Lonchura striata: one gene and its partners. The protein of the gene in region 1 interacts with the protein of each later gene in a pairwise test. Links are inferred from orthologs where the notes say so. Each region holds a gene or a part of one and is shown in the gene's direction. Other genes may lie near its edges.

Region 1 (7,738 bases):
TTCTGCAGCACTGAATAAAAAAATTCCCTGCATTTTAAATGCATCATGCATTGAAGCTAATCTAGTTTCTGTCTCCCTCTACCACAACAGTATTGTACTTCAGTCAGAATATTGAACTTCTGCATCTTCTCAGTAAATGTAATGTAATCAAATTATTTTAAGTTTATTGTTTGACAGATGTGAAACCTTATGTTGTGGATGCCCCATCTCTGAAAGTGTTCAATTCCAGGCTGAAAGGAGCTCTGAATGACATAGTCTAGGGACAGGTGTCCTTGTCCATGGCAAGGGTTGAAACAACATGATCTTTAAGGTCCCTTCCAACCCAGGCCATTCTATGACGCTGTGATTCTAAAACACAGCTGACTGTACCAAAATATGGCAGCACCTCACTAATTTGCACTGTTAGGAAAAAAAACAAAACTCAACCACAAAACATTTGAAGCTTTTGTGTATGGATTAGCTGAGTATTGGCAGTGAATCACCACTACAGCTGGTTTCACAGAGTGTATTAGGGAAGTGTGCTTCCAAAGTACAATTGCACAGGAAGAACAAAGGTTTTAGGATGACCATGTACTTCAATGCAAACCACACAGCAGAAGTGAACTCTTCAACAGAAGGAGATTCAAATAAGCACTGAAACATCCTTTCTTACTGTCAATTAAGTGAATGAAGATGTTAATTCATCCTAATGATTGCTGTTCTCCTTAATCTGAACCACATACTTTAGATAAAGGTATAGATCACCGGAAATTTTGAGGAGGAAGAAGGGTTGGTAATCTCTGTTGTGTACACATTGTGAAAGAAATGCAACAGTCAAGAATGAAAAATTACCAATTTTATATAAACATGACTCCGTGACCAACATTCTTTCAGATTTATGTGCAATGCATTAGAAATCCAACCTCATTCAGCTTGCTGGAAGGATCTCCCTGACTTAAACATGGTTTATGTCATCTCTTGTTGGCTTTGGGTAAGGAAAGCAAGAAAGACTCCTACATTTGCAGAGTCCTTTAAGCAAGGGACTGCCACAGATCCTCCTTTTCTGTTGTGCTCAGCAAAGACTCTGTGATCCCTGCACAATTCAGTAGTTCCCTTTTCAACAAATGTTTTAATAGCTCTGGAGAGGAGGTGTTCTGCCTCCTGCCTGCCTTAGTGCAGGCATCATAAACTGATCAGTGCATATACATTGTCATCTCACACTTCAAAGAAGCAAGCAAAATACAGTAGAGGATGATCATAACAAGGTAGAAAAAAAAAACAGAAAAAATGTTTTTACAGCCTCCCCACTCTCAGAAGAATCAACACACTTTTAAAATTACATGAAGTTTCTAGGAAAAACCTTTTCCTGTTGTTTTCAGGATAAGAACTGTTTCCTTCCATTCTGACAAATTAAATTACTGAGAAGCTGTTGTCGTTTCATAACAGGTAAGTATGATATTCTAAAGCCAGTCTAACCAAATAAACTACATTTGCAACACATTTTCCCTACTATATTGTTAGCTTATGCATTTATTAGCAGAATGCACTATTTTGCAATGAGTTTCTCAGTCACTGTGCATTAGTGAAGTGACACTATGGAAAGCTTAAAGCAGACTTCACCTCCTAATGATATGCCTATAAGAAGCAAGAGTTAGATCCACTTAGGAATAGTTTATACTCAAATTCAGGAGAAATGCACTACATATTAATGACAGATTGAAGAAAAAATCCCCTCAAATTAGAAAGCCCAAATGGACGCACATCGTTAATAAGGAGATCCACACCCTTCCCAAGAACAAACCTCCCAAAAATTATGAACATGCAAGCAATATGTTGATTTACTTAAAAATCAAGAAATCACACAAGATAGCACTCACTACAAAATATGGTTAAAAAAGTCACAGGCTACAGCTTGAAAGCAAGGAAAAAAAAGGCCCTTTGCTCCCCATGGCAAAGTCACTCCTCAACAACAAAACCAAAATTAAAAAAGATCCCCCCCAAAAAACTTTCACTACAGCTCTTTCAATTAAATAAAAGCACACAGTTTAGCTATCAACACCACTTCATTACTGTAATAAAAAAAAAGCACACGGAGGTCTATTGACTATATGAAAAAAACATACATGCATCGTTAATCACCATTTTAGCTTGTTTGTGTTTGAGTCTACTGGTTACAGAGTTTAATTCCAAACAGAACTATTCCACCTCTTATCATCATATCCTTCTGATCAGTTATCTTAACTGTAAACGATCCCTGTCAGATTAGAAAGAGATAAATAACATTGAGTCAAGCTGAAAAAAGAGAAATGGGGCACAGCAATCTTGCATCAAATTATTCCTCCTTGTTTTATCATAGGGTCATGTGGGACTGGACTGCTTAGGCGGAAGGGCCACGTCCCACACAACTTGACTCAGCTGCGGCATTTAGAACATGACCGACAAGGTGAGCACATTTATGAGTATACATTTATAAATCTGAGAGCTTCAGCATTGCTGGCCAGCTTTAAGGATGCTACTGTAAGAGGCCTTCAACGATCATACTTTTCTTTCCTTTTTTTTTTTGAAAAAAAAGATTTATTTCCTCCCCTCTTTGAGATCCCATTGAGACTTACCCGAAAGGCCTCTGTATGAGAGCTGGATGAAGCTGCTGGACACCAAAGGCAAAACCTACCAACAAAAACACATCATATTCTCTGTATGGTTGTTTTTTCGGCCACTTCTTTATGTTATATATATATACACACACACAAAAAAAATGCGGAGTAAGAGCCTTTACTAACAGCCTGCAGTAACAATAGCTGAAACGCTGTAGAACCAAAAATTAGAAAGCAAAATACATACACACACACACACAGAACTTAAACCAGTAAAGCACACGCTTTCCTAGAGATGTTTAGGAAAACGACGTTTTCTAAACAAGTACAGGGTTTTCATTCACATTTTACCTGGTGCTCCATTTGGATCCCTAACTTTAGCATCTGAATGACTGGATGGTACTTTCCATTCATCAGTCTATTTGTGCAATTTCTACAGACTTAAAATTTAAGTCACCCCTACTCATCAGGACTTAGCATAGGGGGTCAAATCCCAACTTCATTTCTGCTCTCCAGACACCCTAGCAGAAACCCTGTCTTCTACTGGCAGGCAATTAATTACTCGCACAAGTGTTCATCAGGCTAAACATGAGGGAATTCAGAACGACCTCCTTTAGAGCATAAATGTGCACACACTCCATGCTCCTCTTACTTTTGCTTCAAGTGTCCCAGCAGTCTGGGAAGTGGCTAGGAAATCAGATTGTCTCAGAAGTGGTCTTAGGAAAAGCCATTTCATTTTAAAATCTGTATAATTGCTCCCATATGTTTGAGAAGTTTGTATTAAGATATTTAATGTTTGTGTTAATAAGACCGCACACATTGGAAGCGAGTCACTCCTAGGCCAATCTTACCCTGCAACGATACTGTAAATGGTCAGCGCCACCACATTCCCAGCAGCAGGAATAACCAATGAAGTGTTTGAGCTGTGGAAGTCTTCCTGGGGAACTCCAGATATTTTATCTCTGATTGCTTTTGTTTTTTAAATAAGGCACATGTGCAAAATAGCCAGAAAATTACTACATGCTGCATTTAAAAAATCAAAACCAAAGCACGCCCAACTGTGTGCGTACTTCAGGAAGGTGGAGGGCAGCACTACCTTTTTTTGAAGTTTTACTCTCTTCAGAAACCTGAGGTATGGAGAGAAAAGCCATTCGGAGCTGCTTCCTCACCTGGCTGCATTATCCGCGGCTTGGCACCCAGGTACGCCAGGTTCACGTTGGCTTTCCTGCCATCGATGATGGGGTTGGGGTCCTTACAAGCCCTTTCGGCAGCAGCTCTGTCAGCCGTGGTGACCTTAACGGGCGATGCCGCGCATTAGATCCCTTTCCGCGGGGAAGGAGAAGCCTCCCGCCCATAGCAGCGACCCGGCCCTACCCGCGGGCGGCGCCGAGGGGCCGCCGGCCGGACCCCGGCCCGGGGCCCGCCCGCCGAGCGGAGCGCAGCGCAGCGCCGGGAGCCGCGCCGGGCGCAGGGCGGAGGGCGCGGGCCGAGCTCGGCCGCCGGCAGATAAACCCCGCAGCGGCCGTATCAGCGAGCAACAGGCGCGCCGGCGGTGTGCGAGGAATTAGGCAAGTCCCCCCCTCAATCTCCTTGTTCAGTAATCCCCCCCACCCCGCCTCTATCCAAACTCCCCAGCAGGGAGAGAGAAAAATAAAAAGGAAAAAAAAAATTAAAAAAAAAAAAAAAAAAAAGAAGAGAGAAAAGCAAAAAACCGGACGCTCGGCAGCCCCTCCCGGCCCACGAGCTCTCACAGCGGCCCCCGCGGAAGTTTCCCCGCGATGCCCTCCCGCAGCCGCCCACCGCCCTGCCCCGCGCCCCGGCACTTACAAAGCCGTATCCCCGGGACTTGCCCGTCTGCCGGTCGGTGATGACCACCGCCTCCTCGATGTCCCCGAAGACCTCGAAGTACTTGCGCAGGCTGGAGTCGGTGGTGTGGTAGGGCAAGCCCCCGACGAAGATCTTGGTGTAAGTGGTGTCCTTCTGCGTCGTGTGCATCTTCAGCCCGGCCCTGCGCGCCGCGATCTGCACCCACGCGTGGCCACCGGGGTGTGCGGGTCCTGGGCGGCGAGACCCACTTCCAGACTCAGCCCCGCTCTTTTTTTCCTTTTTGTTTTTTTTTCTCTCTCCTCTCTTCCCCCGCCCCCCGTTTTCCCCCCGCCACCCAGCTACAATGCAATTCCCTTCTGCCTTTGCAGACCCAGCTTCTTCCTCCTTCAAGAGCGGAGCCTCGCAGCCTCGGGCGGTTTTGAGGTAGGTACCGGCAAAAAGAGGAGGGGAGGCCGGGCAGCAGCCAGCCTGGCGGCTGTAGTGCTGGAAACGAGCAGAAACAGCAGCTGGAAGAGGAGTGCAGGGCCTGGGCTCTAACGACTGAGTGGCCTCCCCCCTAAAAGCCACCGGGTCGGTCACTCTCGGTTCCTCCTCCTCCTCCTCGCAGGGGGCGGGGACGGCGGCGGGGCGGACCCCGCGCTCGGCCGCGGCGCGGCCGGGGCTGACACACAGCTGTTGGCAACAGCTGGGTGCCCCCCGTGCGGCGGCAGCCGGGCCTCGGCGCGGCCGGCGAAGGGGCGGCCTCTGAGGTGCCCCTCGGGGGACGCCCGGTGCCCTTCGAGGCAGGTTTGCTGCAAACAGCAAGTGCCGGGTGATGGGGTCCGGTGGGGTCAGCGGTGCCCGGCCGTCCAGAGAGCCCGCGGGCACAGCCGGTTCACTGGCTGCTGGCGGTCCTCAAATGCTTCGATCCCTCCCCGAAGGCTTGTCGTCAAACCTCTTCACTTACTGCTCTCTCCAGGCTAGCAAAACTATGGTGCTGCAACACATCCATTTTTATTGTGGTGGTGCTGGTGGTTGTGGTTCTTGATGTTCTTTGGTCACAAGATGAAAAAAAAAAATGGTAAAGCTGTTTCCCTTGTTCTTCCTCTTCTCTTGCTGCCTCTGCCCAATGTTGGGACTGGGAAGGATGAACAGAAACATAAATAAAGGAATGTCTGTGTGACATGAAGAGACATAGGACTGTGGGAGTTGGGGGGAAGGGAGACTCACAGAGAGACCGGAAGGATGGGAAGAAGGTTAAAACCGGGGAAAACAGATGTGCATATGTGTACAGACTTCTAAACCATTCTCTTGCAGTCCCAAAGTCTTGATAAGTACTGTGTGTCTCTTTTTCCTCTTTCACCACCTTCTAGGTGGTGAAGAAAGCCTAGTCTGCTAGGCTTTTCCTTATGAAGACACTCTCACTTAGAAAAAAGAGCAGTGCATCACTTGCAGGATGGACTTTCACAAAGTTCTTCTGCCCTTCTGGTACCAAACATTGACCATAATGAGAGTACTTAGCCCTAAACTCAGGCCCTGTTTGCCCATGTCTAACCTTAGTTCCATTTGATTTTTGCATCAGTAGTTTTCCTAGTTCTAATGGCCTATACCTATACCAGTCCTAAGCCATGCTGTCACTAAACTTTACTTGACGCTTCAGACTCTCCAGATTAAATTTGGTTTAACATGTTAAGACTAACTCAAGTGAAATCTAGCAGAACCACAGGATGAGACATAAATGTTACTTTTCAAGTGAAATTATGACAAGCCCTTAACATTCACCTGAATTCGATTAGGTCAGTTAGCTCTGTCTCCAAAAGTCTACCAGCTTGACTCTCCTGTTGGTCTGGAATATTATGTTAAACCTGACACTCCGAGGGCTAATTGTAACTTTAAACTCTAGCCCAGTGACCTGAACTTAAATAGTAGCTCAGCTAAGGGTGTCAGTGCTCAATGGAGCCCTGCAGCACACAGCCCACTTAGTAGTGTATTTAACATCTCAGACCCCTGTGGACCTGGAAGATGAACTTCTAAAAGTTCATCTGAATCCAAATGTAGTCCACCCCATCGTGTTTCCTTTCTCTTGCTGTGCCCAGCACTCCTGAGTGTTTTGCGGTGTCTGCAGAAAGGGTGAGCTAGCCTGGCTTTCCAGTCATTACACAAACTCCTTTATTAGGGCCAGAAAAGCAACATTTGTCTGTCCCAGAAATACTTGCAGATGTATTTAGAAGTACACTTTTTTCAGCCCAAGTGGAAGACTGGTGACATTGACAGACCCAAACTCAAAACCTGGCTTTTTGGTCTAGCAACAGCAGGTCTTCCAGGTAGCAGCAACAGCAGGTCTTCCAGGATTTAGAAAAAAATCCTGTTGTGTTTTTTTTGTTTTTTTTTTTTTTTTTTCTGGAAAAAACCCTAACTTTTCACACCTATGTCTCAACAAAAGACAAACTTCTTGTATTTAGGTAGGGTTCATCATGCAGCCTGTGTTTGTGCTGCAATACTGTTTTCAACCTTCTCTGAAAGGCTAACACATCCTCTTCTGTAAAACCAGAAGTGAAGCTGGCCATTAACAGATCAAAATATATCCTGTAAGCCATGCTACTACAGTCCTACTACTGTATTAGCATCCTCAATTTAAGATGACCATCCTAGTAAAATTTAGGAATAAATACAGTTCTTTTGTCCATTCATTCCTATAACTGAACTGTACCACTAACACCATCACAGGAGAACAATCCCTTCTATTGAAGGATAATTTCTCAAAACTTAGTTTTACCTTACATCCCTTCTAGCATCAGACCTTTTTCTGTTTTGGTGGTCCTGATAGAATCTAGGATATGATTCTCCAGCTTTAGAATTCCTAGGAATTCTTACCTAAATCCCAGAGAAGTGATACCTCATCATTTGCAACTTCCTCTAGCCCATTCACTGTCAACACAAGCCTTTATTTTTGCGTGGCATAACCTGTGAAAAACAAACACAGGCTTCCAGCTCCTGGATGCATGATCTTATGACCTAACTGTGGCTGATACAATTCTACTAGCACCAGGCTATCTACTCCCTCAGCAGGTCTCAGAAAGAAAAATATTTTCCATACATATCTCAGTCTTAATCATCACTTTAGGGTTACCCAAAGAGAAGGGTGACCTCTGTCATATGGAAATTAACTGAAGACCATTTGAACACTTTAATGATCAGGAATATATTGTATGCTTCTCTCCTATACCATATATTAACTCCAGATTTTGGGCTAGTCTTAATCCAAAGGAGGTTACCATGTACAGCCTAGGGAGGGAGTTCTTTCTGATTTACTTGTTGTGAAAACATTCGGGACTGATTGGGGCTTGTGTCTTTGTGCT
Region 2 (6,908 bases), on another chromosome or scaffold:
TTCCCTTCATCTCCTGCTGGTTGCAGGAGAAGCAGCTGGATGCATGGCCCAGCAGGGACATCCATCAGCCATGCCCTGGCTGCACGGCTGAGGATTGGGAAGAAATGGCAACAAAACTGCAAGTGCAGATCAAAAACTGAATCTGATGGGAGCTGGTCTCCGCTCAGAGCTGAGCTGGGAATTTGGGAGCTGGAAGCAATGGGAAGATCAGGGTAAGGGGGGAAGGCAGAGGTGGCAGCAGCTGCTCCACGTGGCTGGTTTGGAATTTGGGGTTTGGTTTTGCTGTGGTACCAATCCTGGTCTGGCCAGGGGTGTGTCCTCAGTCAGAACTGAGGGCAGCTTTGGTGACGGGCTACATCGTATCTCTCTGGGAAGCTCTGCCGTGTGTCAGCACCTGATTTGTTCTCTTAATATCCTTCCAAGTGTTTGGAGATCCCTGTGCTCACAGCACTGTCCACAAAGCTTTACCCTCCGAGAGGAGGGGTGGGGATAATGGCACCGAAGAACTGAAATCTTCAGGGAAAACACGTGTGTGACAAAGCTCAGCTCTCTGAGCTTCTCCAGCAGCTGATTTTGCTTAAAGCAAACCCCTGTGCCTGTGCTGCTGTCCCCGTGTACCCAGGCGTGTTTTGTCTTGCTGGATGCTGTTGAGGATCACCCTGGGTAGCTCAGGGAAGGGAGCACAAGACGAACAGCAGGTTAGATCAAGGAAATGTTACATCACACGGCACTTCCTGCTAAGTGCTGCTATTATCAGCCTCATTCATCTCCACATGCAAATACAGCCTGCACACGTCGTCACACATCTGGAGGGAAATAGCAGTCCTGGAAAGGAGCAGCTCTGACCTGGATCGTGGACAGGAGAGGCAAAAGGGAGCATGATTCTCCACTAGGAATTGTTTCCTTGCTTTCTTGATTGAATCCTGAATTTTTCTCCAGCTAAACCACCACATCCACTGTTCACTGCTTTTTGTCACATCAATGACATCCAAAATGTCAGCTATAAATGGTGGGGAAGAGCAAAAAAAAAAAAAAAAAAAGGGTGAGAAATTGATAAAACCAAGCCATAAAATAATAACTTGGGAATGGTGGGCTATCAAGAAAAGCATATTCAGGAAGAGGTAAAGGCAATGATGTGCCCTAACAACAGTAGAATCCCATTATACTGGGAATTTGGGGAGGAGGAGGTGTCCCTGGAGAAGGTGGCTGCCACTGGAAACCACCCTGTAGCTTCTCTGGTGGTAATTGCTGAGCTATATTAAATGATCACTTCTATATTTACTTTTAACCTGCTTTTTTATAAAGATGCTCAACAAAGAAAAAAGGGAGGGCACAACGAAAGCCAAACGGAGCTTAAGAAAACAAAGAATACATTGAAGGGGAAAACAAGTCAAACTGCAACTGCTCTTGAGTCATTACTGAGGATGTGAATGCCAGCCCATTCATACCCTGCTTTCTGAGCACGTAATGTCACCCTAAAATGTACTTTGGTGTGCTCATGTAATGTCTTAGAAACTGTCTCTGCCTGTGGAACTTGGTTCAGGTATTTTTTGACATTTCTGGCTATCAAGGGCTCCATCTTTGCCCCACAGCCCCTTCAAACTGCTGCAGGTGCTTTTGTGGTCCTTAATCTTCAGCCACAGAAATAGTCACTAAGTGCTGTGAGCTGTGAACATTCCAGGCTGGAGAAGTATTGAAGTGATATCTTCTAAAAACCCCACGTTGAGTGACCTGGATGAGTTCTACTCACTCTCTTATCAGACTTCCTTGTGCTTTTTATTAACAACTTCCTTTTCAAAGTTGCTCAAGGTTCATGACTAATCCAAAGCTGTAGAACTTAAAAAGAGCAGCCTAAAGAGATTGGTTCACAGATTTGTGGAATATCCTGAGTTGGAAGGGACCCATAAGGATCATCCAGTCCAATCCTGGCCCTGCACAGACCCCTCAACATCTTCATAGCCTCTTTTGGGCCCTATATATTTCTTAGATTTTTATATACATCTATATACTACTACAACTATTATTATTATCATTAGCGTTGTTATTATTACTACTACTATATTGTTATATATTGTCTTATATTGCTTTTTCATGCTAGTGTGTTTTACACAAATATATATAAAGGATTTTTCTTAGCAGCTTTAGGAATTTATTTATCCTATCACATACAGTGAACCAGATTCCTGCTCTTACAGTGAATGCTCCCAAAATTGGTGCCAGTGGTAACCTTTGGCTGTGCAGGTGCTGACATCTTCCACAGAAACTCTTTGGCTCCAGAAACCCTCAGTGTCCTTCTCACTCAGTTCTGTGGCTGTGAAATAGTGAAGCATCTTGTGAGTTCACTAAAAGGATTAAAAAATGAAATTTCTTTAAATCACCATCTCTGTTAAGAGTATTTTCTATGGGAAAACTCAATGCTGAGCCCATCGGTGTAGGATCTGTCATCTAGCCTAGAAAGTGCTAACCACAAGGTTACTTGAGCCTGTGAGGTAAAACAAAGCAATCAGTTTAAAAGGTAAAATGTAAGGAAAATGCTAATTTAAGAAAGCTGTTCAATATTTTATCTTTTTACCATTGTGTGCTGCCACCCACAACTCTTCCAAGCGCATGGGAAAGCTGTTGCTTTAGGAGCAAGGTGTATAAATAATGCCTGCCTAAGAGCACTGCTCCTTTTTATTCCTTTGGAATCCTGTGGGATTTCTAGAGCATTTCTATGAATAGATTAAACTCTGAGCATTTCGAGTAACCATGGCTATAAATCAATTTAGCTCTTGGTTTTCAAGTTGCATCTGCTCTTACTAATCCTGTATGTGCATTTATTTTATTTATTTATTTTTTTAATAGGCCAGACCAGGCTTTATTTTTGTGTATGGGTTTTGGTTTTGGTGAAATTCCCACTCTGCACCAAGCAGGTTCACAACCACAGCACCCTGGATTTCTGCAGGGAGCCTGCCGATGGTGGGCAGGTAACACGGAGTGAGGGGAGAACTGGCATCTTGAGCGTAAAGATTTCACCCATCGGCGCAATGCAAATTTAAATTTCATTACTAGGAGGGGAAGCCGTGACTGCTCCGAAATGTGTAAGATGGAGGGGCACTGCAGGGAAAGCAGCCATCCTCCGGCCCCATCTTGCTTTCCCCCAGGAGCAGGGATGTGTTTGGCAGCTCTCTGCGGATCAGGGCCTGCCCTCCTCCCCCGGCCTTCCGCAGCCGCCCGGGGCTCGGCCATTTTTCCTCCATTTCGTCGTCTCTGGACGCTTGGTTTCTTTTGAACGATGCGCTGCGGGCCGAGCCCGCCGCTCGCTGGGGCCCGGGGAGGGGCGAGCGCGGCCGGGCCGCACCAGGCCGCGGCCTGCGGGCCCGCGGCGCGGGGACCGCCGCACACCGTGGGCCGTGCGGGGCCGGCCCGCCGGTGTCACCGGAGGGGTTTGAGCCGGCTCGGGGACTCCCCCGACCCCGCCGGGGCCTCACGGCCGGGCCGGGCGGGCGCCGCCGCCGTCCCGCGCCGCCGCCGCCTCACGTGTCCCCCCCTCCCTCCCCGCCCCTTCACCCGCCGCAGCACCGCCGCCGCGCCCTCCGACTTCCCGTAAAGAGTCCGCGCCGCCGCCCGCCCCGCGCCCGCCGCCGCAGCCCCGCCGCCCCTCGCCGGCCCCGCGGGGGTGCCCCGAGCCCGCGGCTGTGGCCGCCGCGCCCCCCGGCCCCGCCGCCGCCCTCAGCCCGCGGCGCGGCCCGGCCGCCGCCCGCCCCCCCCCCCCCGCCCTCCGCGGATCCCTCCGCGCCGCGCTCCGCTCCCTCCGCCCCGCTCGCACTGTTTGGGAGCAACCGGCCGAGCCAGCGGCGCCCCGGCCCCGCCAGCGCAGCGCGGACCGGCCGAGCGCACCCAGCCCGGCGCGACTCCCGGCGCTCTCCCTTCCCTCCTCGCCATGTCCCTCAAGCAAGCGGCGGCGGCGGCGCAGCCCGCCGGCAACAACCGCAAGCCCCCCGGCGGCGGCGGCCCCGGCCTCCCGTCAGCCGCGGGGAGGCAGAACATGGGCAGGTGGGTGCGCAGTGCCACGGGACCGGCCCCGGGCCCGGCGCGGGCGCCGCTCGCCCGCCCCCGCCGCCCCCTTCCCCCCCGCCCTCGCCCCGCACCGGCCTCCATGGGCGGCGGCGGCCGGCAGGGAGGGGGGGCGCGGGGCCCGCAGCATGGCGGGGCCGGGGCGGGGGCCGCGATGGCGGCGGGCGCGGCGCTCGCGGCCCCGCCGAGGGGGTTCCGCAGTGCCGGGGCGAGGCCGGGCCGCGGCCGGTGCCCTTCAGGCGCGGGGAGGGCACGGCGCCGAGGCTCCATTTCGGCCCCCCGCGGGGGCCCGGGGCGGGGGGCGCCGCTTCCCCCGGGCCGACGTGACCCGCCTGCTGAGGAGGGAGCGGGGGGAGCGGGGGGCGCGGGCCGCACGTGTCGGGGCCGGCGCGGGAAGGGCCGCGAGCGATGGCGGCGGGGCCGGGGGGCGGCCCGGGCGGGGAAGGGGGCGGCGATCCGGCCCCGCGATGGCGGCGCAGCGCCCTCGGCTCACCCGGGGAGAAGGGGGATATTAAAATAATTGTGTTTTTAAAATTTATTTTAATATCTGGGGATCGCTATTATTTGTAAAATTTTTTTAGCTTTTTTTTTTTTGTTTTATTTATTTATTTATTTTTTTTAAATAATGGAAATCACAATAAAATTCTCGCGGGAAGGCGGGCCTCGCCGCGCCGCTGGATGGTGGCTCCGAGCGCGGCCTCGCTTTCTCCCAGATTTTTGGGGCAGGAATCTTGCAGAGGCTGAGCCCGCTCCTCGCCTCCCCCCCACGCTCGCTGCCTCTGAGAGATTGATCCTGCTCCTGCTCTCAGATCATTAGCTACGCAAATCCACTCACATTTCCCCCCTTTCTTTCCCCTCAAATAATAAACTCCATAGTGCTGTGAATTTTTCCCGGGCTGCGGGGGTCATAACAAACGATCAGAGCAGGACGTTAACAGTTCTGAAGGTCACAGTCGCTCAGAGCAGTTTCATTTCGAGTTTTATTCATCTTCCTCTTCACAACTGGACGTTTAATCCCACTCGGTTTTGTGGCACTGGCAATAAAACAGAATTTACAGTGGCCCCATTGTTGGACATCACTGGAAATAGGGTTTTACTTTGTTCCCAGCCAGTGGAACTGGAAGCGGAAGAGCTTTGGAAGGGTTGAAAAGGACAAAATAAATAACAACAACAATACCTCAGCAGCTCACAGCACCGATTTAATAGTTTTTACATATGGCATTAGGTGGGACATGATGTTTACTGGGCTCTGTCCCTGCCAACACACAGTGGCACTGTAGAGGTTAACGTGAAGGGCAACAAAACCTCCAGCTTATTTTTTTAAATTCAGCCTGATGGCAAGCACTTACCCCCTTAGATTTGGACATGAGATCTTTGAATTCTCTCCCAAGTTTATGATTAAAGCCACTAGATTTCTCCTCCCAGTGTTGCCTTTCTGGTTCTATTGGATAAATTCCACTTCAGAACTCCCTAAGGAGTTCTGATGGGCCTGCTGAACAGCTGATGTGTTCCCTCAGAAGGGTTCATGCTCTTTGTTTCTTAATTTTTCAAGTTATTTCTGAATGGAGGGTCTGTAAAATCACAGTCCCAGGCCTGCTGGAGCCCCATGGAACACCTTCAGAGGACTTCCCCTGTAGCTGTCCTTGGACTTCTGGGGAGTGCAAATTCAGATATGGTTCATTCTGTAAATCTGGCCACGTGAATGAAAATTTAGGTGTCCTGCATCTTGGTATCAATTTGATGCATTGTATTCTTTAATAAAAACTTGAACATCTCCAGTGTATGTCAAGCTTTCTGCCCAGCAGCTCATTTCCCTGCAGCACCAACATTCCGTGCAGAAAAAAAAAATAAAAAAAATACTACTTTTCATGGCTAAGTTGCTCTTGAAAGCTTAGTTTGGGCAGAAAAGTCATTGATAATTAACTGTCCTGGGCCTCATTTTCTGCTGTGGGTTTGTTACTGGAAGAATTGGGCTGAGCACTTGTCCTCCTACCTCTGATCACGAGGGAAGGGTCAGCTCTGCTCGCTGCCTTGTCTCCATGGGTTCATACTGCTGCACATCTGTATTTCAGATTAGAAAAGGTAAAATCCCATGTGAACAAGCAGTGGTTTTTTTTACTGTCCTATTAATTGCTTTTGGACAAAGGGAAAAATCAGAAATGAAGGCATCCTTGAAGGTGTGTGAGATAAAAAAGAGGCCCCAAGTGGAGTGCTGTGTTTGTTTAATGTGCACTATGGCAGATGGGCTTGGGCTGCAGGGGAGATGCCAATAGCACAGCAAGCTGTAATTAGGGAGAATGTAGACTTGGTTCACAAACTTGCTCCCTGTGCTATCAGAACATTATCTAACATCTACTTTCTGTGTTTGAGCGGAGTTTTGCTGTTATGCAAGCACAGGAGGGTTAGCTGTCCTCTGGCTGCAAGTTGCATCTATCACAGCCCTCCTCCATCTCCGTCCTCTTTTTGTTCCTTTTTTCCCTATTGTTATTTTATCTGAAGATAAAACACCTCACGGTCAGGGTTTGGATGTTTCTTGTCTTGTTACAATTGTGGCAGAAGGGATTTTTCATTTTGGTAACTTGCTTGCCTAACTGGGCTTGGGGGATCCTGTAAGAATACACAGAGTTTCTGTCCTTTAAAAAAAATGTATTTTTCCCATCAAAAAGCTAAAACTGAAACCACCTCATGGTAAAAAAAAAAAAGAAAAGAAGACACAAACTTCTTGCCTCCGTTTCTTTTTCTTTTTCCTTGACATCCCTTTCTTGAGAGCATGGTGACTATCCTGTTCAGAGGGAAGGGAAGGGGAATGTTGAATGCCAAGGTGCTGGAATTTAAGGGCAGTGACTGTTCTG
Region 3 (6,943 bases), on another chromosome or scaffold:
CTGGCCGTCCGCCTAAGGGCCGGGGGTGGCCAGTGCACGGCAGGAACGGGCCAGCGGTCCCCAGGGCGGGCAACCAGGGCTCGGCAGGGCTCTCTCGGTGTTCCCTCCCGCCCCCGTACCTGACTTCCACCTCGGGCTTGTTGTGCCGCTCCACCACCTGCGAGGAGAAGTTCTCCAGGCACAGCGCGGCCTGCAGCGTAGCGCGCACCGCGTTCAGGTACGGGCGCAGCGTGGCGGTCTGCGGGGACACGGCGGTGGCGTCAGACCCCCACCGGAGCCCGGCGGTCGCGTCTCGCTCCCTGCCCCAGCCCCCGACCAGCAGCCCGCAGCCCCCTCAGCCCCGCTCACTCCGCCGGCCGCGGTCCCGGTCCCGACCCTCCCCAGCCTCCCCGCCGCCACCGCCGCTCACGGGGCGCCCCCCGCCCTACCATGGTGGCGGCGGAGCTCCGGCCGGCCAGGCGGAAGTGGCTGATCGCCTCTTCCGGGATGCGCGGCGCCTCCCACTGCGGCGGCAAGGAGGGGGGGCGGCTGGAGGCTCCCGCCCTGCGGCCTGGCCCCCCCCGCGGCACGGAGCCGGGTGGCGGCGGCGAGACTCCGCGCGGCTCCCCCCCGCGCCGTGCCGCGGTTGGTACGGGCCTGTCAGCGCTTCCATATTAGGGAAGGGAGATGGAGCGCGGGCCGGGCCAATGGGCGGCGGCGCGCGGCGCGGCGCGGCCAATGGGCGGCGGGGGGCGGGGCCCCCGCGGGGCCGGAAGGGGCGCCCGGCCCAGGCCCGGCCCCGCGGCCTCCGCTGCGCCCGGGGCCGCCCCCGCCTCGGCCCCGCAGCCCCCGCGATCTCCCTCCGCTCCCCCTCGGTGACCCCCGCCGCGTTCCTCGGTGATCCCCCCCCGCCGGGTTCCCTCAGCGCCCTGGTGGTTCTCCCCACGTTCTTCTCACCGCCCCGGTGATCCCCTGCCCCGGGTTCCGCAGAGCCCCGATGCCCCCCGACCCTCCGTAGTCCCTCACTCCACTCCATTCCCTCCCGGCTTTCCCGCCCCCCACTCCCCCGTGTTCCCGTGCCGGTCCCCACCGCCATGAGCGAGCTGAAGGACTGCCCGCTGCAGTTCCATGACTTCAAGTCGGTGGACCACGTGAAAGTGTGCCCCCGGTACACGGCCGTGCTGGCCCGCTCGGAGGACGATGGCATCGGCATCGAGGAGCTGGACACGCTGCAGCTGGAGCTGGAGACGCTTCTGTCCTCTGCCAGCCGCCGCCTTCGCGTCCTGGAGGCTGAGACACAGGTGCTGGGGCCGCGTTGAGCCGGGGACAGTCTCTGTCTGGCTCCTTCCACCAAGGGGCTGCCTCTGGTCTGCCCCTGCCCAGCGCTGGGCACAGCATCTTATGGGACACCACTCTCTTCCAGATCCTGACGGACTGGCAGGATAAGAAGGGCGACCGGCGGTTCCTGAAGCTGAGCAAGGACCACGATGTGGGCACATCCGTAAAACATGGGAAGCCCAAGAAGCAGAAGCTGGAGGGCAAAGGGGGCCATGGGACTGGGCCTGGGCCCGGCCGGCCCAAGTCTAAGAACTTGCAGCCCAAGATCCAGGAATATGAATTCCAGGATGACCCCATTGATGTGCCCCGCATCCCCAAAAATGATGCTCCAAACAGGTGTGTGGGTGTTGGGAGGCATTGGGATCATCTTTCTCCTTCTTTGGAGCACATGGCACAAGCGCTACCTCTAGCCTGAGAGAAGAGGCCACAGGGGGAAAGGGGACATGTGTCACCTTCCATGTGCCCCCCTGCATCTCCCTCTCACAGTTCATCCATTCTTGCAGGTTCTGGGCATCGGTGGAGCCGTACTGTGCCGATCTCACCAACGAGGAGGTCAGAGTCCTGGAGGAGCTGCTCAAGCCGCCAGAGGATGAGGCTGAGCACTACAAGGTGAAAAGCTCCTAAGCCCCTTCCTCTGCCCTCTCTCCCCATCCCCTCTGGCACCTCACAGTGACTCTTCGTGCCTGGGATGCTGCCATGGCACTGGTGAGGTGGGAGGCAAGGCAGAGGCTCTAGGAGCTGTGCTGAGCCTTGCTCTTGCAGATTCCACCACTGGGGAAGCATTACTCCCAGCGCTGGGCACAAGAGGACCTGCTGGAGGAGCAGAAGGATGGAGCCCGGGCAGCAGCTGCTGCTGACAAGAAGAAAGGTGTCCTGGGGCCACTGACTGAGCTGGACACTAAAGGTGCCCCAATCCCACCCCTGCCTTTGCCCTGAGGGGCTGGGAGGGCTTGTGCCCAATGGAGCCAAGCCCAAGAAAGGCTGAGGTAGCCCTGCCCCACTGCTCATGTCTGTGCCTTTGGGGTTGCTTTTTCCCCTCTCCCGCTTCTTCCCAGATGTTGATGCCCTCCTGAAGAAGTCAGAAGCCCAGCACGAGCAGCCAGAGGATGGATGTCCCTTTGGTCCCCTGACACAGCGTCTCCTGCAGGCCCTTGTGGAGGTGAGGGGCTCCAATGGCACTATGGCCATGGTGGTCTGGCACTATAGAGCATTCTGCCAAAACCCAGCACTGTAACACTTCCCTCGTGCTCCCTTTGCTAGGAGAACATCATCTCCCCTGTTGAGGACTCCCCCATCCCTGAGATCACTGGCAAGGACTCGGGAGCTGACGGTGCTGGCACATCTCCCCGCAGCCAGAACAAACCCTTCAGGTGAGCAGCTGAGGCGGGCCCAGAGCTCAGCGCTGCCCGCGGGTGCAACGAGCACGCTGCTGGCTCCCTGCCACTGTGAGTCACAGCGAGCAAAGGGCGTGTGGTAGGCAGCAGCCACTCTCACCCCGGCAGTGTCCCCCACACCAAGTCGCTGGAGGGGCGGATCAAGGAGGAGCTGGTAGCCCAGGGCCTGCTGGAGTCAGAGGACCGTCCGGCTGAGGACTCGGAGGACGAGGTGCTGGCTGAGTTACGCAAGAGGCAGGCAGAGCTGAAGGCGCTCAGCGCACACAACCGCACCAAGAAACACGAGCTGCTGCGGTGAGAGCGAGCGGGCTGGGATGGGTGCGGGCAGGGGGCTGCCTGGCAGGGCCTGACGCCCCCCTGTGCCCCGCAGGCTGGCCAAGGAGGAGCTGCACCGGCAGGAGCTGCGGCAGCGTGTCCGCATGGCTGACAACGAGGTGATGGATGCATTCCGCAAGATCATGGCTGCCCGGCAGAAGAAGCGCACGCCCACCAAAAAGGAGAAGGACCAGGCCTGGAAGACCCTGAAGGAGCGGGAGAGCATCCTCAAGCTGCTGGATGGGTAGCAGGGACCAAGGACCCCCCCATTCTGTGTGGACTTCACCTGCAGGGGGCTGCCCTGCTTGAGCCCTGCCACCATGGGATGGAACTGGCACAGCTCCCCCATGCCCTGAGTCTGGTCAGCCTCCCTACTCGGATGAAGGAGCCCAGCTGCTGTCCTCTCCCTGTGTAGGGCTGTCACTGATCCAAGCTGGGCACCCGGTGGAGTTGCCGAGGTCCCTCCCTTGAACACCCCCACCCCGGCTGGTGGCTTCCACTCCCACGTCCGCCCTACACTCCCCTGTTACTCGGGTGACATCAGCCAGGTCACTGCAGGGGCCAGATGTGGCGGCTGTGATGGTGCGATTCCCACGGTCCCCTGTCCCTCTCTGTGATGCGGGGCAGGGGGAGATCCCAGCCCCACGGGTGGACTGGGGGGAGTGGGGAGGGGAAGCGGCTGGAGGGATGAGGGGTCTGGTGGGTGGGTGGCCGAGCTCTCCATGTACCGGTGGTTTCTATTGCCGCGAGCACCGGCAATAAAGGCAGCCGTGTGCAGGTGACAGTGTGGTGACATTGGGGGACAGCCCTGCCCGGCTGTGGGGGTGGGCTCGGTCTGGGGAGGTGAGGGGGATGAGGAGTGGCGGGGCTGTGTCTGTCCTGCAACTCCACTCGTGCCTACCCGAGGAATGCCCTCGCATCCTCAGCACAGACGCGCGGTGGGCCGGGGGTGGGGTGGTGTGTGGGTGACGCCGCGCCGCGCTTGCCGCCCTCCCTCCCCGCGCTTTTCCCGCGTGTCCACGCGCGCCCGCGGTCACGCGTGTCCCCCCGGCACCGCGGCCGAGCCGCCCCCTCCCATTGGCAGCGGCCGCGCGCTGCCCGCCCCTCGCCGTGACGTCAGCGCTGTCCGGCGGCGCCGCGCCGGGAGGAGTCGCCGCCGCTCCGCCGCGGGGCCCGGGGCCGCGGCCGTCGGTAAGGGCGGGCCGGGGCGGGGGCGGCGTGCCACGCGCGGAGGTCGTTCCCACCGTGACACTGAGCGGCGGCGGTGGAGCCGCGCATCACCCGCGCCGCGCAGCTCTGCTGCCACGCGTGTCCCGCCCGGCGGGCGTGGGGAATGGCGGTGGGGACCCCCCGTGCACCTACGCGCGTGTCGGGAGCCCTCCTGCTGCCTGCCCGCCCCGCATCCGCCCCATGGGCGGGCATCGGGAGGGTCCCAGCGTGTTCCCCCTCTGGGGCAAACTACGCCAGAACTCCTGCGTCGACACAGCTTGTTCCCGTCACCCCACGATGACAACCACCTCCCTGTAGCACCCTGTCATCCCCGTGTCCCTATGCCATCCCAGCACGCTGACAGCCTGTCCCACTCGTGTCACAGGTGGGAGTGAGTTGCCCCACAGGGCACCATGCCGCTGGGGCAGGATGGGCCCAGCTGGAAGAAGAGGATCGAGGATATTCAGCGGATCTATGATTTCCGAGATGTCCTGGGCACGTGAGTTGCAGACTGGAGTGACACACTATTGACAGCCCACTCACAGGGATGGGTCTGGCCCCTCAGGCTTTGCACAACCATCCATGTGGAAATAGCTCAAATCCTGGCCCAAGGTGGGGCTTGCATATGTCCTGAAATAGCTCAAATCCTGGCCCAAGGTGGGACTTGTACCTGTGGGGCACAGGTGCCACCTCCCTCTGGCGCTGGCTAGTTCCTGGGCTGTGCTGAGGGTACCTGAAGGTGGTCCCCTGGCTGGCAGAGGGGTTCCTGGCAGAACCCCATGGTAAGGCTCTTAGGCTGGATTAGCAGGTTAATTATGTCGGGGATTAGGGCCCAGCACAGCGCGAACACACTGCCTGTCCCTCCTGTCTCTTTCCCACCTGGGCACTGCCAACACTTCTGGCTGGCGCCTGGTTGGCCCTAGGTGCTACAGGATGGCACAGTGGAGAGCTACTGCAACCTGCATGGAAGCTCAGCCCAGCACAGCTTGACCTTGGCAACACCACAACCTTACCCTGCCTGATATGGGGATGGTGCAGCCACACTGGGAGGGCGGAGGGTTCCAGGCATCCTTTCGCTGCCAGGGTCCACGTCCGGCCATCCCAGCCAGCCACTCCTGCTTGCTTTTCTCCTATAAATAGCTGGACTTTCTGCCTGTCACCATGACAATCATGGCATGGCGGCATTGGCAGCTCTGGCTGGTGGTCCCCGTGCCCTGCTCATCCCTCACCCCCCCAGGGGGGCCTTCTCCGAGGTGGTCCTGGCGGAGGAGAAGGCGACGCGGAAGCTCGTGGCCATCAAGTGCATTGCCAAGAAGGCTCTGGAGGGAAAGGAGACCAGCATTGAGAACGAGATTGCCGTCCTCCACAAGTAGGGGCCATCCCAGCACCAGGGTGGGGGTTTCACTCTGTGCCCCCCGCCCCAACCTGGCACAGCCCCCCACTGCCAGCACTCATTGCCGCCTGTTATTGCCAGTGCCCAAAATAGCCAGCGGCGCGTGATGACCTGCGGCGTGGAGCCTGGCTGCTCCCTGTCCCCTGGGGGCTGGGGTGGGGGCAGCCCAGTGCCCCCTCACCACCCCCCTATGCCTCCCCCTGCAGAATCAAGCACCCCAATATCGTGGCCTTGGATGACATCTACGAGAGTGGCACCCACCTCTACCTCATCATGCAGCTGTGAGTGACGTTGTGGGGCTCCAGAGGGGCGGGGGGGCCATGCTGACAGGTGCTGCCCGTCCCTGCAGGGTCTCGGGGGGGGAACTCTTTGACCGCATCGTGGAGAAGGGCTTCTACACTGAGCGGGACGCCAGCGCCCTGATCCGGCAGATCCTCGATGCCGTCAAATACCTGCATGACATGGGTATCGTCCACCGTGACCTGAAGGTGAGCAGTTGAGGGGGGCACACACAGCACTGTCTTGGCACCGGGCAGGAGACCCCAGTGTCACCCCTCCCTCTACCCTCCTCTCCTCACAGCCTGAGAACCTGCTCTACTACAGCATGGATGAGGACTCCAAGATCATGATCAGTGACTTTGGGCTGTCAAAGATTGAGGGCTGTGGCAGTGTCATGTCCACAGCCTGTGGCACCCCTGGCTATGTGGGTGAGTGCCTACCATGGGCTGCCACCACCCTAGGTGTGGGGTTGGGATCCCCCCACAGGTTGGGGTCCCCCCTCACCGCTGCCATCCCCCCCAGCCCCTGAGGTGCTAGCACAGAAGCCCTACAGCAAAGCAGTGGATTGCTGGTCCATCGGAGTCATCGCCTACATCCTGTATGTATCCCCCTTCCCACTCCCTTCCCCTCCTGGGGGCCTGGCACCTTGGGGCTGCCTGGGACTAGCAGCCCCCTCCCCACTGCCCCCCTAGGCTCTGTGGTTACCCTCCTTTCTATGACGAGAACGATGCTAAGCTCTTTGAGCAGATCCTGCAGGCTGAGTACGAGTTTGACTCACCATACTGGGATGATATCTCGGACTCAGGTGAGCTGGGACCACCAGGGCAGTGGGACCTGTGAACCTAGCGCAGCTTCACAGTATCCAGAGGAATGGTGGACATAGGCTCTGAGAGCTGCTCCATGCTGTGTTCCAGCCAAGGACTTCATCCAGCACCTGATGGAGAAGGACCCTGGCAAGCGATTCACCTGTGAGCAAGCCCTGCAGCATCCCTGGTAATGGGGAGACCTATTGCTGTCTGCCCCCCTCTCCAGCTCA
Region 4 (7,976 bases), on another chromosome or scaffold:
CAATGCATTCACTGTATTCCCTGCACACGCCCTTGGTGCCCACTTTACCTCTCCATACACACCCTCCGTGCAGCCATGATATGCTGCAGCCCCTGTAAATTGTAGCCCCTATACTCTGCAGCCCCGATATATATACTGCACCCCCTACCCACTGCAGACGCCCCTACCCAGTCCTCCTGTGCTGCCTGGGCTTGCTGTCCCTGCCCTGAGATACCCCCAGGGTGGTGGCATCTGAGCCCCCCAGGTCCTCAGCTCAGGGGGATCACCCTGGGGGGGGGCAAATAATGGGGATATTGGTGGGAATGGTGGGGGTGAAGCTTATTGGGGTGTGGCTGGGGTAGGGGGTTTATGTCGGGGTGGGTTTTTTTGGTGGGGGAGGGCAGGGTTGCCCAGTAGAGCCCCCACCACCACCACCACCAAAGACTGCTTGGGTGCCAGGGTCTCCAGATGGGTGACAGGGAGACAGAGGGCACTCTGAACTACCTCGTTGGGGCTGGGCGGGCGCCTCCTCCACCCACGTGTACCCCAGGGTGCCAAAGCAGGTGAGTGTGGAGCAACGCTCACCTCTACCTCAGCACGGGGGGCTCGGCGGCGCTGGCCTGCTCCCCGCACTCCCACCGCAACCACGCGACTCCATGTATCTATTAAAGGAAATTAACTCCTGAACCAAAACGGTGCTGAGGGTTGTGTGCAGGGCATGGTGCCACCCACCGAGCCCCGGGGCCCAGATGGAGGTGCAGGACATCCCAACAGCCTGTGATACCCTGGGGTAACACCTGCAGTGCCTGAGGTTTCACAGCCCAACTCATGCTTGCCTCCAGCTCAGGTTCTGGGAACTCTGAGTTGCAAACAAGTGCCCTATGCCCACAAGAGCTCGCAGACGTGGGCTGGATCAGACAGGTCACCAGTTTCAGCTGTGCCAGCCAGGCTGTCCATGAGCCTGGCTGAGCCCCCATGAGCACTCAGTGGCAGCTCACCCATGAGTGGAGATCCGATTAGGCTGCCCTGTGCAGGAAAGGAAACATGACACTGGAGCTGCTGAGACCATGTCCATGGGGGTGTCAGTTTGGACCTGGTAAGATGCCAGGAGTGATGCGCCAACCTGGCACATGAGCAGTGCCCACAGAGGACACAGGTGACCATGGTGGAGCTGGGAGGCACACACATATGTGGGTGGTCATGTGTACTCCCTTGTACAAATTCAATGGCATGCACTCTGAGACTGTCACACTCATGCCCACACATGGACTGCCACACGTGTGCAGCCCCCTGAACATCTGAACAGGCACAGGGGCTCCCGTGGGGACAGACACTCCGGCTAGAGGCAACGACGAAGATAGGTCCCTGGCACCCAAGGGGGCAGAAACTCCTGATTGAGTCCCCACCCCGCCCCCTCCCCGAGGCCAGACTCAGACCCCTGGGGACACACAGCTTCTCGGGAACAGCTGCTGTTCCTCAGGTACAGCCCCAACTCAGCCCCTCGAGGACAGCCCCCAGTCCTCCCAGAACAGCCCCTCGGAGACAGCCACAGCCCGGACTCCCGCTGACATCCCAGCGCGGATTCCCAAGGCAAGGGAGCACCCCCAGTCCGGACCTCTGAGCCCACCCGGGAGTGCTGTCGCTGTCCAGGGTGCTGCAGCAGCCCTGCCCGCCCCGGACCCAGCCTCGGGACACGGGGGTGTCGCGGAGGGTGGGGTGTCACGCTGGAAACGTGTTGAGGACATGGGTTGACACCCCTGCAGAGGACCTGTGGTCTGGCGGGTCGACCCCTGTGGTCTGGCCACTGGGGATGGAGGAAGGTTCATGAACAAGGCATATGTGTGTGCGTGTGGGGGGGATTTGTTTGTGAGTGAACGAAGCAGAGCTGGAGTGGGATTGATGCAGCCTTAATTGCGGTCTTGTGTCCCTTTGCACTGCTGTGAAGTGCTGGCCACAGCTCATCGAGCACCACAGCCCCAGGGAACCAGCAGGGCACATGCGGGCCCCGTCCCCACTCATTACCAGGCTCAGAGGGTGATGTGTGTTTCCGTACTCCCTGGGGAGCCTGGGGACACAGCTGCTGTCACCTGAGTAACAGCCGTGATTGATGCCTGCTTCCCCATGTCCTGCAGGGACTGTAATTGAGCAGGAGAGAGTAGTTGGAGGATGAGGGGACAATCCAGCCCAGCCGATGGAGCATTGAATCCAGCTTCAGCACTGAGCTGAGGGCAAGTGATTGAATCAGTGTGCCCCTGCAAGCTCCAGGGGATGTGGTCAAAGGCCTGCTTCTATGCCCAGGAAGCAGGGAACAGGCTCCATGTGCTGGGCTGTGGGCAATCAGTGCTGTAGCTGCAGCTCCATTCCAAGGCTTGCAAAATGGATGGAACTCTAAAGGGTGGATGTGAGAACACCGTGTTTGGTTTGGGGTCTCAAGTGGTGGTAAAGTCTCTCCTCCAACCCATGCTCCCAAAGAAAAACTCTGCAGTCTCTTGCTGTTTGGTCTCAAGGCAGTTTATTGCTAGTTATCTAACAGATTGGGTTCTTGGGCTGCGGCTGTTTGATCAGCGGCCCAGGCAGACACACACACACACACTGACACCCTCACTGCCCAGTGTCTTCTTCTTCTCTCCCCCCGCCCAGGTCTGCTGCTATCTTTCATAAGATATATCACGTATAACATGTTTACAATTATTCCCCAATACCTACTACCTATATAACCAAGTGCTTTTCTACTCTAAACCAATCTGTGAATGCCAACATCACCAAGAACATGGAGGTAAGGAAGAAGAAAGAGGAAGAACAGGATCAGCCCACTTTCCTCCATCTTAGAACTTCTGATCCCCATGTACAAAGTAAAAGCCCCCCTGTACATGTGCTAAAACCCCCCTGTACAATACCAAAAAAAATTCCCCTCTACTTTGTAACTACTTTTACTATACTATCTAACCTTTTGTGACTGCTTGTTCCACCTTCAAAGTTGGTAATTCATTCCATGGTTCAAACTCGAAATCACAGCTGTTTCCAGCTGCCTGCCGGGGTCTAGAATGCCTCTGACCAAGGCCTGGAACCTCCAAAAATGTCTGAGAGACATTTTGAGTTCCCACAGGAGGATGAGGACAGTCCCAAAGCCCCCAGTGCGTGAGGCCCAGGACTGCCTGAGTTTCTCAGCTCAGGGTAGTCTGGGACCCTCTAGTACAGGTGTTTGTGTGTCTGGGGCATTGCCCATCATGCTGGGCCCAGGCCACAGTAGAGCTGGTGCCCTCTAAGCACAGACCATCGCTGTGTGCACAGACCCCGGCCCTCCTGCTGCCCCTGGCCCCTCCTGTAGCCCCCAGGTGCTTCTGCTAATGAAGCCATTTCTATTTGTCGCCTTTGTGGAACAAAGCTCAGCTCTTCACCCTCTGAAGATCCCAGTTATCGATCCCTGGGAAGAAAAGGCAGCACACACGAAGCCTCAGCCTTCTCCTGCTGCCTAAGTGCTCTGCACAGCTCCTGCAGGTGAGCTGGGGGAGCATAAGGGCTGCTGAGGCACTGGGCCACCCCACAGCTCCCTCCTGCACCCTGGTAGGACTATACAATGCCCAGTAGGAATGTACCTGTAAGGACAATGATTTATCACGGCACAGCAGATTTAGCTTTCAGCAAAGGGCAATGGGAGGGTTCCTTAAAGCCATGCCTCCCACATTATCAGTGATGTTAGCAAAATACCTGCAGTTAGGAGATGGTTTTTATCTAAAGAGTGGCCTGGAACCTTGACTTGATGTTCCCTGGTGCCTGGGCTATGGCAGTGCAAAACCCAGGCCCATGTTCATCCTGGCACTGCTGAAGTCATCAGTACATGATGGGACTGAGCCCTGGGATACAGAGAATGACAGCAGAATGTGCTTTGAAAATTCACAGAATCACAGAATCATCAGGGCTGGAAGGGACCCCTGGAGATCACCCAGTCCAACCCCCCTGCCAAAACAGGGTGATCTGGAGCAAGTGACACAGGAACATATCCAGGTGGGGTTGGAATATCTCCAGAAAGAAGACTTTAGAGCCTCCCTGCACAGCTGTTCCAGTGCTCTTCCACCCTCAGGATAATGAAGTCTTTCCTTCTGTTTTATGACCATTGCTCCTCATCCTGTCACAGGGCACCACTGGAAAGAGTCTGGCACCATGCCCTCTGATACCAATTTTTGATATATTTATATGCATTCATGAGATCCCCTCAGTCTTTTCTCCAGACTGAACAGGCCCATCTCCAGCAGCCTATACCCAGAAGAGAGATGCTCCAGACCCCAGATCATCCTTGTGGCCTCTGCTGGACCCTCTCCAGTAGCTCCTTGTTTCTCTTGTGCTGAGGAGCCCAGAAAGGGACAGAGCATTTGAGGTGTGCCCTCACCAGGGCTAAGTAGAGGGTCAGGATCACCTCCCTTGACTTGCTGGCTACAGTCTACCTAAAGCACCCTCAGATACTTTTTGCTGTGCAGCTGGGAAACCCTCTGGATTTTTTTCTGTGGCAGATGCAGCTACTATGAATTAATTTTATCCCTGTTAGAAGTCTGTGTAATTGTGAGTGCCAGTTGAAGGCAGTGGCACGGCTGGGGTTGGCTGCACCATTCATTAGTAGTTCTCTTCTTCACGAGTGTCACCTGTGGCAATCAATAACAGAAAGGTGAACGCGGGCACACAGAGGCCTGGGGGAAAGCCGGCGGCAGCCTCCCGCATTTCAAAGGGCCTGCATGCGCACGGATCGCTATATCAATTCCTTTTAATACATCTGAGCGCCTCTTTCCTGGAGGACCACGCCGGAATGAAGCGGCCATCGACTGCCTTCCCAGGCAGCGGGAGGGCTGCACGCCTCCCTCTGCAGTGCAAATCGCCATCGACCGCGCCGCATCCTCTGAGAGGGGCTCCGCGCCGCCAGACGCGGCCTCCCCTCCCGTCTCCATGGCAACCGCGGTCCTTAGCAACGCGCCGCCATGGCAACCGCCAGGGCGCGCCGGAAGTGGGGCGCGGCCGCTTCCGCCCGGCACGAAGATGGCGGCGGGCGCTGCGGAGCTGCGGCGGCTGCAGTGGCGGCTGGAGGAGCTGGAACAACGCGTCGGCCTCGGCGGCTGCGGGCCGCAAAAGGTGCCGGGGGGAGCTGCGGAGAGCGGCCGGGCGCCGTTTGGTGCGGTCTGGCGGGGCCTGGGGTGCCGCTGCCCGGCGGGGCCTGACAGCCTCCTCCCCTCCCTCTGTGCCTCTGCAGGTGGCAGACGAGCTGGTGAAGGTACAGGTGGCGCTGAACAATATCGCCGGCAAGAGGGAGAGGATCAAAATCCTGTTTAAGAAGAGTGAGCGGCTGTTGCGGAACGGGAGGGATCGCAGAGGGCGGGAGGGGGGAGCTCCAAACAGTTTCACTGCTCTAAACAAAAATACCTTCCCCACACCTTTTTGGCTTGGGCGCTTATTTCAGTTTGTTTGGCACAGAAATAAATAACTGGGAGAGGTTTATGTGCTTGCAATCTCCAGCTCAGCAGGCAGAGTGGGAAATGGGCGGCTGGAGCCTGTTATTTGCTCAATTTCCATCTGCCCATGTCAGGATCTGCTCTCCATGAAATGCTGCTCTTATGAATGCCATAACATCTCCCTACTTTTCGTCTCCAAACCTATTTATCCCTCCAGTTGAAGATATAATAAAATACCTTGACCCCCAGTACATTGACAGGATGGCTGTTCCAGACACTATGAAGCTGCAGTTCATCTTGGCAGGTATGAGATGAGGGGAAAGAGGAGGCTTTTGTAGCACTGCAAATAAAGCATCCTTTCTCTAAGATGGGTCAGGATGAATTTATTTTCTTCAGTGGTAAAATGTGGCACGGCAGGCCCTGTGGAGGTATCAGAGAGATGGTTTGCACAAGGGTGTCTGTCACCCTCAGTGCTCCCTTGTGCACAGCCACACTGCAGTTTTGTCAGCTCTGATCTCTTCTGTATTGATCATTCAATTTAGCCCCAAATTCATCAAAGGCTGGTAAGAAAAGCGGGAGCTAGGATGATTTCCTTACCCCACTTCAGTATTCTCCAGGCTGGGACAATTGGGTGTGTTTTGACATCCCCTAGCCTTGTCCTCTCTTGACCCAAGGAGTTTGATCAACCCGTGACCAGTATAATCTGTCAGTGGAATTCCACTGAATCACGGAATGTTAAGGGGGTGGAAGGGAACTTAAGGACCATCCAGTCCCAATCCACCTTCCCCAGCTTTCCCAGGTTGCTCAGACTCCATCCAACCTGGCATTGAACACTGCCAGGGATGGAGCATCCACATCCTCCTGGGCACCTTCACAGTAAAGAATCTTCTCCTAATATCCAGCCTAAATTTCCCCTCTTTCCATTTGTACACTCCTTGTCCTATCATTAGAACGTGGTGGAGATTCTCCTGCCTGAAATTGGTGTCAGTCAAGACCCAGGGATGAGCAGCACAAAAGTGATGAAAAATCATGAATCCTTTCTGTAAAGACAGATCAGCTGGGAAAATTACCACTAGTGAAAAGCCAGAGCAGTGTTTTGTGTTTACTGATGTTGCTTCTTGTCCCCACACAACCAGAGGAACAGGCTATTCCTGCCCGTGCAGCCCTTCTGGAGCAAGTGAAGAACCTCCAGCCTATCTTGGACAGCACCAGTATCCAAGGTATGCATGTTCTGCAAGCTGGAGCTGCAAATGCCACCTGCTAAGCTGTGGCCTGTCCTGCTTGCTTTCTTTTCTCTTGAGTCTGAGACTAGAGAAGAAGACAGCTTAGTGGTGTGAAAGTAAACTGAGTACAAAGTTAGTCTGCTCCTGCCACATGCTGCCCTAGTCTCCCTTGCAAAGTCATGGAGGTGATAGAGTAGCTTGTGAAGCAGGCTAAAGAGAGCACTGTGGCAGAGGGGGTGGAGCCTGGCAGGTCATTCCTTCCTGTGAGCTGTTTTACATCCAGAATATCTGTTCTGGCCAGTGGTTTAGTCCCGTGTGTTTCGTGAGTAGCCCTCGCTGTGGGCATCCCTGAGCTTGTGCCATGTGCAGGATAGTTATGTAATTTTTTTTATCCTCTGTGAGTTTTATCTATAGTGTGGGACACTTGCACTCAGCAAGTGGAGTTCTGCCATGCTGTGCTCATGGAGGAAGACTGGGGTTTACGTTGGGAGCTAATCCCATGTGCTGTAAAACAGCCCAAACTGATTTCTCTTTTGTGCTTCCAGCGGTTCCTGACCATGCAGCCAAACTGCAGAGGCTCTCACAGATCCACATACAGCAGCAGGTACCGTGAACATTCCTATAAGTATTGAGTAGAAGGGCCTAGAAACCTTTTACAAGTGGCTGTACTGACACCCAGTATTTGTAATTGCTTGAATTGCTCATTTATGGCAGTTCTTTGCAATCTGAATTTTCATACTACAGTCTTAAAGAAGTTTTAAGTACTCCTAGGGGAAAAAGGAGCCAGGATTTCTGTGAATTTGGTCCAAGTTGGAAATTTGCCCACCATAACCCTGCTCAAAACAGCTTTCAGTGACACATAGTAAGGGACATTTGGTTTAACCATCTTGAATTCCCCCTTTTACTGAGACTCTGAGGTGAAGCATTGCTCTCCTCCAGTGTCCTACTCTCTGGAACGTTGTTGACACTGTCAGCCTGTCCCTTCACCCTTTCCCTCCCTGTATGAGCACTCTTGGAGCTGGCAGTGAGCAGCCTGGGCAGTTCCTAATGGTCTCTTTCAGCATTTTGTTCTGAGTTTCTGTTCCGGGGCAAGCAAAGCCTGGATACTGAGGAAAGGCAAGCAGCAGTGCAAGCCTGGGGGGTTTGCTGCTTCATGGGACCAGTGTTTGTCAGTTTTCTCTTAATTGTGAAAACCTGTCCAGCTGCAGTGGGCACCACAGCCAGGGCCTGAGCACTGATCTCAGTGCTGGCCTTGGATGAGTTTCCTGCCATGCTGTCGTGGACTGGGAAGGGAGGTATGTTGTTCACCTTATTTATTGATCATGCACTGCGGCTCCCC

Evidence for each region.
Region 2: the proteins of ATXN1 (region 1) and ATXN2 interact in binary tests that used the Homo sapiens proteins (3 or more experiments, as listed by UniProt). The link is inferred for Lonchura striata from reciprocal best matches to the Homo sapiens genes ATXN1 and ATXN2.
Region 3: the proteins of ATXN1 (region 1) and CAMK1 interact in binary tests that used the Homo sapiens proteins (3 or more experiments, as listed by UniProt). The link is inferred for Lonchura striata from reciprocal best matches to the Homo sapiens genes ATXN1 and CAMK1.
Region 4: the proteins of ATXN1 (region 1) and DCTN3 interact in binary tests that used the Homo sapiens proteins (3 or more experiments, as listed by UniProt). The link is inferred for Lonchura striata from reciprocal best matches to the Homo sapiens genes ATXN1 and DCTN3.

Annotation. Positions count from the first base shown.
Region 1 is NC_134603.1:90,444,692-90,452,429, reverse strand, and holds the start of ATXN1 (ataxin-1), read left to right. Parts: upstream 1-4,727; 5' UTR 4,728-4,823; exon of another isoform or gene 4,824-5,064; intron 5,065-7,738. Other genes in the region: RBM24 (RNA-binding protein 24), read right to left, coding at 2,592-2,646, 3,743-3,866, 4,401-4,568. UniProt on the Homo sapiens protein: Chromatin-binding factor that repress Notch signaling in the absence of Notch intracellular domain by acting as a CBF1 corepressor. Binds to the HEY promoter and might assist, along with NCOR2, RBPJ-mediated repression. Binds RNA in vitro.
Region 2 is NC_134620.1:11,796,360-11,803,267, forward strand, and holds the start of ATXN2 (ataxin-2), read left to right. Parts: upstream 1-3,892; 5' UTR 3,893-3,922; coding exon 3,923-4,035; intron 4,036-6,908. UniProt on the Homo sapiens protein: Involved in EGFR trafficking, acting as negative regulator of endocytic EGFR internalization at the plasma membrane.
Region 3 is NC_134614.1:15,394,034-15,400,976, reverse strand, and holds the start of CAMK1 (calcium/calmodulin-dependent protein kinase type 1), read left to right. Parts: upstream 1-3,941; 5' UTR 3,942-4,217; intron 4,218-4,620; 5' UTR 4,621-4,648; coding exon 4,649-4,734; intron 4,735-5,472; coding exon 5,473-5,604; intron 5,605-5,834; coding exon 5,835-5,909; intron 5,910-5,977; coding exon 5,978-6,116; intron 6,117-6,208; coding exon 6,209-6,335; intron 6,336-6,429; coding exon 6,430-6,505; intron 6,506-6,599; coding exon 6,600-6,712; intron 6,713-6,821; coding exon 6,822-6,900; intron 6,901-6,943. Other genes in the region: ARPC4 (actin-related protein 2/3 complex subunit 4), read right to left, coding at 120-238, 429-431; TADA3 (transcriptional adapter 3), read left to right, coding at 1,074-1,280, 1,403-1,653, 1,821-1,926, 2,080-2,221, 2,373-2,476, 2,578-2,687, 2,820-3,005, 3,082-3,274. UniProt on the Homo sapiens protein: Calcium/calmodulin-dependent protein kinase that operates in the calcium-triggered CaMKK-CaMK1 signaling cascade and, upon calcium influx, regulates transcription activators activity, cell cycle, hormone production, cell differentiation, actin filament organization and neurite outgrowth.
Region 4 is NC_134642.1:40,926,182-40,934,157, forward strand, and holds the start of DCTN3 (dynactin subunit 3), read left to right. Parts: upstream 1-4,965; 5' UTR 4,966-5,004; coding exon 5,005-5,097; intron 5,098-5,215; coding exon 5,216-5,300; intron 5,301-5,631; coding exon 5,632-5,718; intron 5,719-6,550; coding exon 6,551-6,634; intron 6,635-7,182; coding exon 7,183-7,241; intron 7,242-7,976. UniProt on the Homo sapiens protein: Part of the dynactin complex that activates the molecular motor dynein for ultra-processive transport along microtubules. Together with dynein may be involved in spindle assembly and cytokinesis.